Sus scrofa: one gene and its partner. The protein of the gene in region 1 purifies or fractionates together with the protein of each later gene. This does not show direct contact. Links are inferred from orthologs where the notes say so. Each region holds a gene or a part of one and is shown on either strand. Other genes may lie near its edges. The genes, in order: RNF139 and INSIG1.

Region 1 (3,905 bases):
CAGAGCTGTAGCTGCTGGCTTACACCACAGCCACAGCAACACCAGATACAAGCAGCCTCTGCAACCTACAACCACAGCTCATGGCAACCCACTCATCCTTAACCCACTGAGCGAGGCCAGGGATCAAACCCATAACCTCATGGTTCCTAGTCAGTTTCTTCTCCGCTGTGCCAGGACGGGTACTCCTATCCCCCTTAATCTGTCTTGGTTTATAATTAAGACTCTGACCTAACTTACACTCCTGCTGGTTAAGGAACAGAAAGGATAGCCAGGTTATATTAATTACATGTATAGGCAACAAATTTAGATCTTTTCCTTCCTAGGTTTGTTGCTGGGACCCTAAAACTAAACCAACAAAAGAGATTAACAGGAGAATAACAAGTTTCTCCGGTGTATACAGGCTTGGAGAAACTAAGTGATCGACAACTCAGGTGGCTACAATTTGGGGCTTATAAAGCTTCTTAACAAAGAACAGTGCATTGTAGAGAAGTGATAAGACAAAGGAAAAGGAGTTTAGGCTTTTAGGGGTGGCAAACTTGTGTAAGGTAAGTATGTGGGGGAAACTAATAAAGATAAGGATTGGTAAGACTTGTGACTGAGTCTACAAGTTTCCTTTTGGTAAAGGAGAGGGAGTCACCTTTACAAAATGGAAACTTATGTTCGCTTTTTAGGCAAATGGGAGGACGGTTAAGTGCTGAGGTGGAGAGTTTTTTGTTTCTGTTTCTCAACTGTCTTCAACTCAAACATAATCATGTCAAAGTGGCATACTTTGGGGTGGCATGTTCTGATTCCCTACAAAAAAGAATGGCTTCTTCTGCCCTGAGAAAGAACGGACTGCCTGGGCGTGCATACCTCAAAGGTTAGAAACGAAGAGGCCAGAATTCTTGCCCTTAAGTTACAGTGGCCCTTGATATTAGTAAAATGTGGCCAGCAAGTGTCCGCAGTTGTAACCAATCGGGTAGGAAACAGGAAAGTTGATGCGCAGAGGGATGCGAGGGCTACTTTCCTTGGTAATGCCTACCGCACCCAGCCCAACCCAAAACAGCAGCCACTCAGCACTGCGCATGCGGCGATGCCTCCAACAGGTCCCCAAACGGCCTTGCAGCATCTTCCCCGAAGAGTCAGCAGCTCGGATCCCGCCTTTGGGTGGGGTGGGGTAGGTCTGACGTTCGGCGCCCTTTGTCTTTCCTCCTTCCTAGCAGCTCTATATCATGTTTACGGGACGTTTAATGGTCTCTAGTAGAGCGACTAATAATTCCCTCCCGCGGCCCAATCCCTCACTGAGCCTTCACCGCCGTGGGTGACGCGGCCACTCTGAGGCCAGAGGGCGCGGCTGCGGAAGAGCGTCTGCGCCAACAGGTGGCGCCCAAAGCCGTGACGACGGCGCAGCCGCGGAGGTGGGCGGGAACCGCGGCAACGCTCAGGGACGTCTGGTACGACGAGCGTGATGACCGAATGGGGAGCGTTCCAAGCGCCGGATTATGACGCGACGTCGGCGCGCGGGCTCCGCGGTCTCGCGTAACCGCGAGCGCAGCCTCCCGGCCTGGCAACAGCAACAACGGCAGAGGCAGGCGGGCGAGGTCAAGATGGTGGCTCCGCGGGCGGGGGAGGCGGTGGAGGGGGGAGGAGCCAGGCGATAGCCGGCCGGAAACACCGACACCCAGAGGCCTCCCGGAAGCCGCCGCCGCAGCCTCAGCCGCCGCCTCCGCCGCCTGCTCCAGCTCGAGAGACGCGAGCGGGCGGCGGGGCGGGCCGTGAGAAAGACTCGAGAGGAGGGAGGGCGGGGCGGAGTCGCCCGCCTCCGCCCCCAGCCGGCGTCCCGGGCCCTGCCCCACGCGGCCCTGCCGGGCCCGCCCAGCCCCGGTGTGGCAGCGGCTCATGGCGGCGGTGGGGCCCCCGCAGCAGCAGGTGCGGATGGCCCATCAGCAGGTCTGGGCGGCGCTCGAAGTGGCGCTCCGGGTGCCCTGCCTTTACATCATCGACGCCATCTTCAACTCCTACTACGATTCCAGCCAAAGCCGGTTTTGCTTCGGGCTCCAGGTCTTCCTCCGGCTCTTTGGTAAGGGGGACTGGGTAGCCTGCGTCCGGAGACTGCCCGCTGGGCCGAGACGTGCTGCAGGGAGCGGGCGGGCGGCCGCGCGCAGGGTGTGTGTGTGTGTATGTGTGTATGTACACACACCAGCCCCCCCCGGGGGCGTCTTTGCAAGCCAGGGGAGGAGATGACACTTGTCTCAGACTTGACAGCGGAGCAGTCCTCCCAGCGACTCAGCCTCCTGTTCATTTTTGCCTCTAAGGGCTGGGAGAAAACATCAATGTGTGAGCGTGCGGCTTTGAGCCTGCTGTTTCTCTTGGGAAATGAGTACTGGTTTACCGCGTCCTATGCGACAGCTTTGGAAAAACAGCAACTGTTTTTGCCCCGTCTCGCAGTGCGTGACCTTGGGCTCGTGGAGCCAAAGCCTGGGCCTCAGTTTCCCGGTTTCCAAAATGCAGAGTACTCTTATGTTGCCATTTAAATGACATCCAAACGGAGGAGACAAGGTTTCGAATGTCAGACCTTGAAACCATTACCAAAAATCCTCGTGAAGCAGGCAGTACTTATAATGAGTCCTAAAATTTCCCGCGAATAGGGAAGATACTGAGAACGGTTATAAAAACGTGGCTAGGAAGTGATGACACTTCTGAAAATCATTGTCTTCGTCGTGTACGAATGGAATGTTAAAAACATCTTATACTTCCCTCCCTATCTTCACTTGCACTCCCAGAGTGAGAAACGTTTATGCTTAGAATTTTTTAAGTAATTGAAACTTGGCGAATTTTGTTGATGAGGTAATTCTTGTGTCAGCTTTTAGTGGGGTAGTGCTTTTGAAGTGTTGCTAGGATGAGCTGCTGGTGAGATCCTTACCAGGCCTTTCTGAATGGGGAGCCATCTGTTGCAGGTTTTTTCCTCCTTTTAAAAGAAAGTGTGGTAATGGTGAGCTTTGCTTTTAGTAAATAGCAGCACTTTGCCTTTGTTTGGTACTTTTGCAGTGCGTTTTCACTAGTGTTATCTAACCCAAACTACAAAAATCCCTCAAAGAAGGGTGGGTGGTGGTGGTTTACAAATGAGGAAACTTAGGGTCCTAGAGGTTGTGTTTTGCGTTTGATACACTGTAAGTAATTGGTTGCCAGAGCCTAGCTTTAAGTCTTCTGACATCAGGCCTCATTCATTTTCCTCTTCAGCACAGCTGCAGTCCAGATACAGAATGGTATCGTAATGATCATATGCTGATCGTATATTAGCAGATGTGGATGGACATGATGTTCCTTAGCACGGGAGTTGTCGGTACCCTACCGGGTACTTAATCCCAGCCATTCCTACTTAAGGCTGAAAAAGTGTAATGCCCTCATTATGTGTGGCAGAAATGAAGCTTTGTGATTTCCAGTGTATACAAATAGTGAGTCATTGTGTTGTACACCTGAGACTAATGCTGTGTGTCAATTATACGTCAGATAGAAAGCATTAGCTTTAATGTTGGTACTTCACACGTTTTATGTATTTTGCTTAATTCTGGGCAAAAGTAAGGTTAGTTAAATAACGTTAACAATGAAATTAATAAGAATGGGGACCTGTTGGGAAGGCATTTTATTCCCGCCAGAAGTCACTCATCACGATCATAAATTAACAGGCAGTTACTTATCTCATTATAGAAAGGTGGTCCCAGCTGAGCCAGCCCAGATAGCCTTGCCAGCCCCTCCCCCCACATCTATCCACATTAATTGGAGGACATTGCAGTCAGGACCTGTGCTGATTTCTGGGATGGGGAGACAGAAAAGTGGAGAAGATGGTTGTTTCTGTTCCTCAACCCCACATCAGGAGAAAGCTTGCTAGTAAGACATTGGAAGCTAAAAGACTTCTAGGAAACTTT
Region 2 (3,905 bases), on another chromosome or scaffold:
AATGTACTATGGAATTTCTCCCCTTATGCCCTTGACGGATGGTTTAAAAAAAAAAGTGAGTAAGGTATGAGAAGTTGTGTTTCAGATATGCCTGGAATTCCTTGAAGCTTCAATTGCAAATCAAGCCTAAACTAAAATGGTTCAGTGGTTTTAAAAATCAAGCTTTTGATTCAAAGAAACTATTGTGCCAAATGTGAATAGAAAGAGATGTTTCTCCAAAAGGATTAAGAGTAGAGCCATGAACTTAAAGGGGTTAGAAAAACAACAGTAGCCAGTGTTTCTGAGAACAAAGAGAAAAACCTTCCACTCTCTGCTTCATCACCATAGTGTCCCCGTCATGAGGCATCCTGCCTAGGACACAAGCTCCACTCCAAGCCCACTGCTTCCTTGCAGTTTGAAGTGAGCCTGCTGAGAAGACGCCCCTCTCCAGGGTGCAGGGGACACACCCAGACTCCAGGGGGCAGTATAGGCAGGGTTGCGAACGGGGACCTGTCACTCCGCTGTGCCCCTGCAGACACAGGAGCTTCACCTCTCTGATTCAGTTCTCGCCTCTGTGCAGTGGCGCTGAAGCAGAGCACTGCTGAAAGGACCAAAGGAAGCACAGCCTACGGAACAGGAGGCAGGGCGCTCGTTCCCTGGTGGCCCGTGGGGCCGACGTGGCGCTTTCACCGCTGCAGCCGGGGTTCAGTCCCTGGTCTGGGAACTGAGACCCCACATCAAGTGGCTACGCACCGCGGCCAAAAAAAGAAGAAAAAAGGAGAAAGATCAGAGCCCGCGAGGTCGGCAGTTCACAGAGGGGAGCTACAACGCGAGGCTGTCCGACGGGAGTGTCTGCTCCGTGCTTTACAGCCAGGCGGGCGGAGGCCACAGAGAGCACCCGGCAGGTGTCCATTCATCCATTAATTCGTCCACAGCAAATGCTGTGTGACCGGAAGAACTGAGTGACCTTCTGAGCCATTTTTATAAAACCAAATAACTGAGCAACCAAATAACTGAGCAACTCTACTCCAAACAGCCAGTCCACCTGTCCACAGCAGACTGCTGCCCCGGGGTCACGACTGGGTCTGGCCAGGGTGGCTCCTGTCCAAACTCTAAACAGAGACTTCCTTTTCCTTCATCCCAGAGCCCAGCGGTGGGGGCAAGGCCAGGCTCTGGCCACGTTCACTGGGCTGTTCCAAAAAAGGAAGAGCAGGAGGCCGCTGGGCTGGGGCAGCAGCTCTGCCCACTGGGCCCACGTGACGGTTTGTTTTCAGTTACCGGGCCGGTAGCGTGTTCCCCGGGGCAGCCAATGGCACTCCAGCCCCGCCGCTCACCAGTCCTGCCCGCGGCCAATCCGGGCAGCTGGTTAGGATGACAGCTGCGGGGCTCCCCCAGCACTGGCCTCAGGGCCGGGTCAGGAAGAGGGAAGGACCTGGCCAGCCTGGCACGAGCGGGCGAGAAGCAGCCAGTGGCCTCCCCGCCATCTCCACCACCGGGCCTCCTCCAGCCTCCAAGCCCCCTCCCCAAACACAGTCGCTGGGATGCACAGTCTCCTCTGTGGATGGTTCCATTTTCACACAAATGGTTCCCACAGGCTGAAAACCGCTTTTCACCAGACAGACGTCGTTTGTTTCTACTCACCAGCGGCCGTCCCACAGCAGGGAGGGACCCACCAGGCTGAGGAGAAGATGGTGGCAATAACCTCCTCGGGGAACAGGGTGACATTCCTCTGGACCTGCAGCAGGTTCAGCACCAGGGCCAGCACGACCCCCACCGAGAACAGCACCAGGCTCCTCTGCAGCAGGTGGTGATGCCAGCTGTTGGTGTGGCCGCTGCCACCATGGCTCCCCATGCCAGTGCTCTGAGGCGCATGAGAGGGGTCAGGGCCCTGGGCACCGTGGGCCACCAGCAGAGAGGGGCCTGACACAGAGGAGCTGATCATCTCCCCCACTTTGGCCTCCTGCCCTCTGGCACTGGCCCTGGGGTGGCCTCTGTGGTTCGTGCCCTTAACACAGGGACAGCTCCAGAGGTGGTCGTCCAGTCTGGGCATCAGCCACACCTGACAGGCTTTCCTAGAAGGAAAACGGGGGTGGGGAGAGGGAATCCCGATCAAGTTCACTTCCAAGGGACAGGGCAGGTTCAGAGAGGCCCAGAGACATGGCTCTGGGCACGTTCACTGGCCAGGAAAACCCCCGAGTCTCAGGGAGTCAGCCGCACAGGGTAGCCCACGGGCAAGTACTGCGGGGGAGGGGCTGCAAGGACCCTGTCCACACCCGGGCCCTGGGTGATGCACAGGCTGCAGCCACAGCCAGGTGTTAGCTACACCTGGGTGATCCCGCTGCAGTACCTCCTTGTATGAGCCCTGAAGTTCTGGGCCGTACAGTCCAAAAGTTTTTCAGAATCCGCCCGTCTGCAGGAGGCAGAGGCCAGCCAGCGGCAGGCCGCCCCAGGACAAGTTGCTGGGGTCGTCCCGGACGGAGAACAGCCCTGGCAGAGCCCACCTGATGTCGGGGATGCAGTCCCCCACCCCGCGGCTGGGGCTGGAGTCAGGGTGCGCACCCAGGCCCGAGGGTGGGTGCTGAGGACCCCAATGGAAGGCCGTCTAGAGGGGCGGCTGCCGGGACCTCGACATCCCCGTCCCCAGGGCTCCCCACCGCTCCCGGCCCAGTTTCCCTTGCCGCACCCTCGTACCTGGCCAAGGGCGCCCGCCCGCGGGCTCGCCGGGGGAGGAGGTCGCCGAGGAGAGTCGCGGCCCAGAACGCCTGGAGTTGAGCCCGCGGCCGTCCACGCGCGGCGCAGCTTATAAGGCGGGCGGTGATACCGCTGCTCACGTGACCCCGGCCGGGCCCGCCACCCCGCCCGCGCTCTCGGGGCGTGGCCCATGCGCGCCCCGCCCCGGCCGCGCGCACGGCCGCTCACGGTCTGGTGAGGCGGCCGCGGCCAATCGTGGGCGGGCGGCCCATATGACGTCATCACACGCCACCGCCGCCCCGAGCTCGGCGCACTGGCTCGGGAGCGCGGACGGCCGGCGGCGGACTGGCTGTTCCCGGCCCGGGACGGGGGCTGGAACTGGGCGCGGCCGGACGGGGCGGGGGCGGGGGCCGCACCGACGGCAGGCAGGGGTCGGCCGAGAGCATCCGGGGCCCCGGGTGGGAGGCGCCCCGCGCAGGTTCCCGGCGGACCGCGGAGAGAGGGCGATTTCCAGGGATTGGCAGCCGCGGGCCTGGAGTCCGGCGGCTGAACAGCTAGGTCGCCGGACCCTCACCCAGGCGTGGCGGTTGGCAAGCCTCTCCCCTGCGGCCGCTCCACTTGGTCACTCTGCAGCCGCCTGTGCCCTGAAGATGCTCTGACCTCTGGTCCTTGTCAGCTCTCTCAGTGGTGGCCGCACCTGCTCATGCAAAGCGGGTTCGTGTGCGCAGCGACCAGCAGGTGCTGGCAGGGAGCGAGGGCTCGGAGACGAGAGCTGTGTATGCTGCGTGCAAGGATCTAGGTGTTGTTAAGGGTGCTTTTATGTTTTTCTGCCACCAGCGTGGTTCAGAAAACTTTTCTGACATAAAATACTTACGAAAATGTAAATGATGAAATCGTCATTCATAAAATCGTTTCTTCTCGTTTCGAATTGTCTTTCAGTGGGAAACAAACCATCAGAACCACTTAGAAAAAATAGAACGCTGTTTTATCTTGTTGATGTAATGTATTTATATCCTGTTTGCCCCATGGTCACACCATCTAAATAGCAGGGCAGGCCCTGTGCCACCTGGAAACCCACATTTTGTTGAGCAAGATACTTAAGATGTCCTGGAAAGACAGTAGAGCAAGTGTGCGGCCTTTTCTCTCTGCAGGTGAGAGGAAGTCTGTGCTCTAATAGGGTCAAGAGAGCTCACAGGCTTAGGCGGTGTCAAGTACTGCATTGTGTGGCATCGTAC

What was found.
Region 2: the proteins of RNF139 (region 1) and INSIG1 purify together in Homo sapiens (affinity purification with western blotting, with the first as the bait; 3 studies listed by BioGRID). This does not show direct contact. The link is inferred for Sus scrofa from reciprocal best matches to the Homo sapiens genes RNF139 and INSIG1.

What each region holds. Positions count from the first base shown.
Region 1 is NC_010446.5:15,180,081-15,183,985, reverse strand, and holds the start of RNF139 (E3 ubiquitin-protein ligase RNF139), read left to right. Parts: upstream 1-1,465; 5' UTR 1,466-1,878; coding exon 1,879-2,059; intron 2,060-3,905. UniProt on the Homo sapiens protein: E3-ubiquitin ligase; acts as a negative regulator of cell proliferation through mechanisms involving G2/M arrest and cell death.
Region 2 is NC_010460.4:2,896,013-2,899,917, forward strand, and holds the start of INSIG1 (insulin-induced gene 1 protein), read right to left. Parts: upstream 2,747-3,905; 5' UTR 2,671-2,746; intron 2,052-2,670; 5' UTR 2,030-2,051; coding exon 1,621-2,029; intron 1-1,620. UniProt on the Homo sapiens protein: Oxysterol-binding protein that mediates feedback control of cholesterol synthesis by controlling both endoplasmic reticulum to Golgi transport of SCAP and degradation of HMGCR.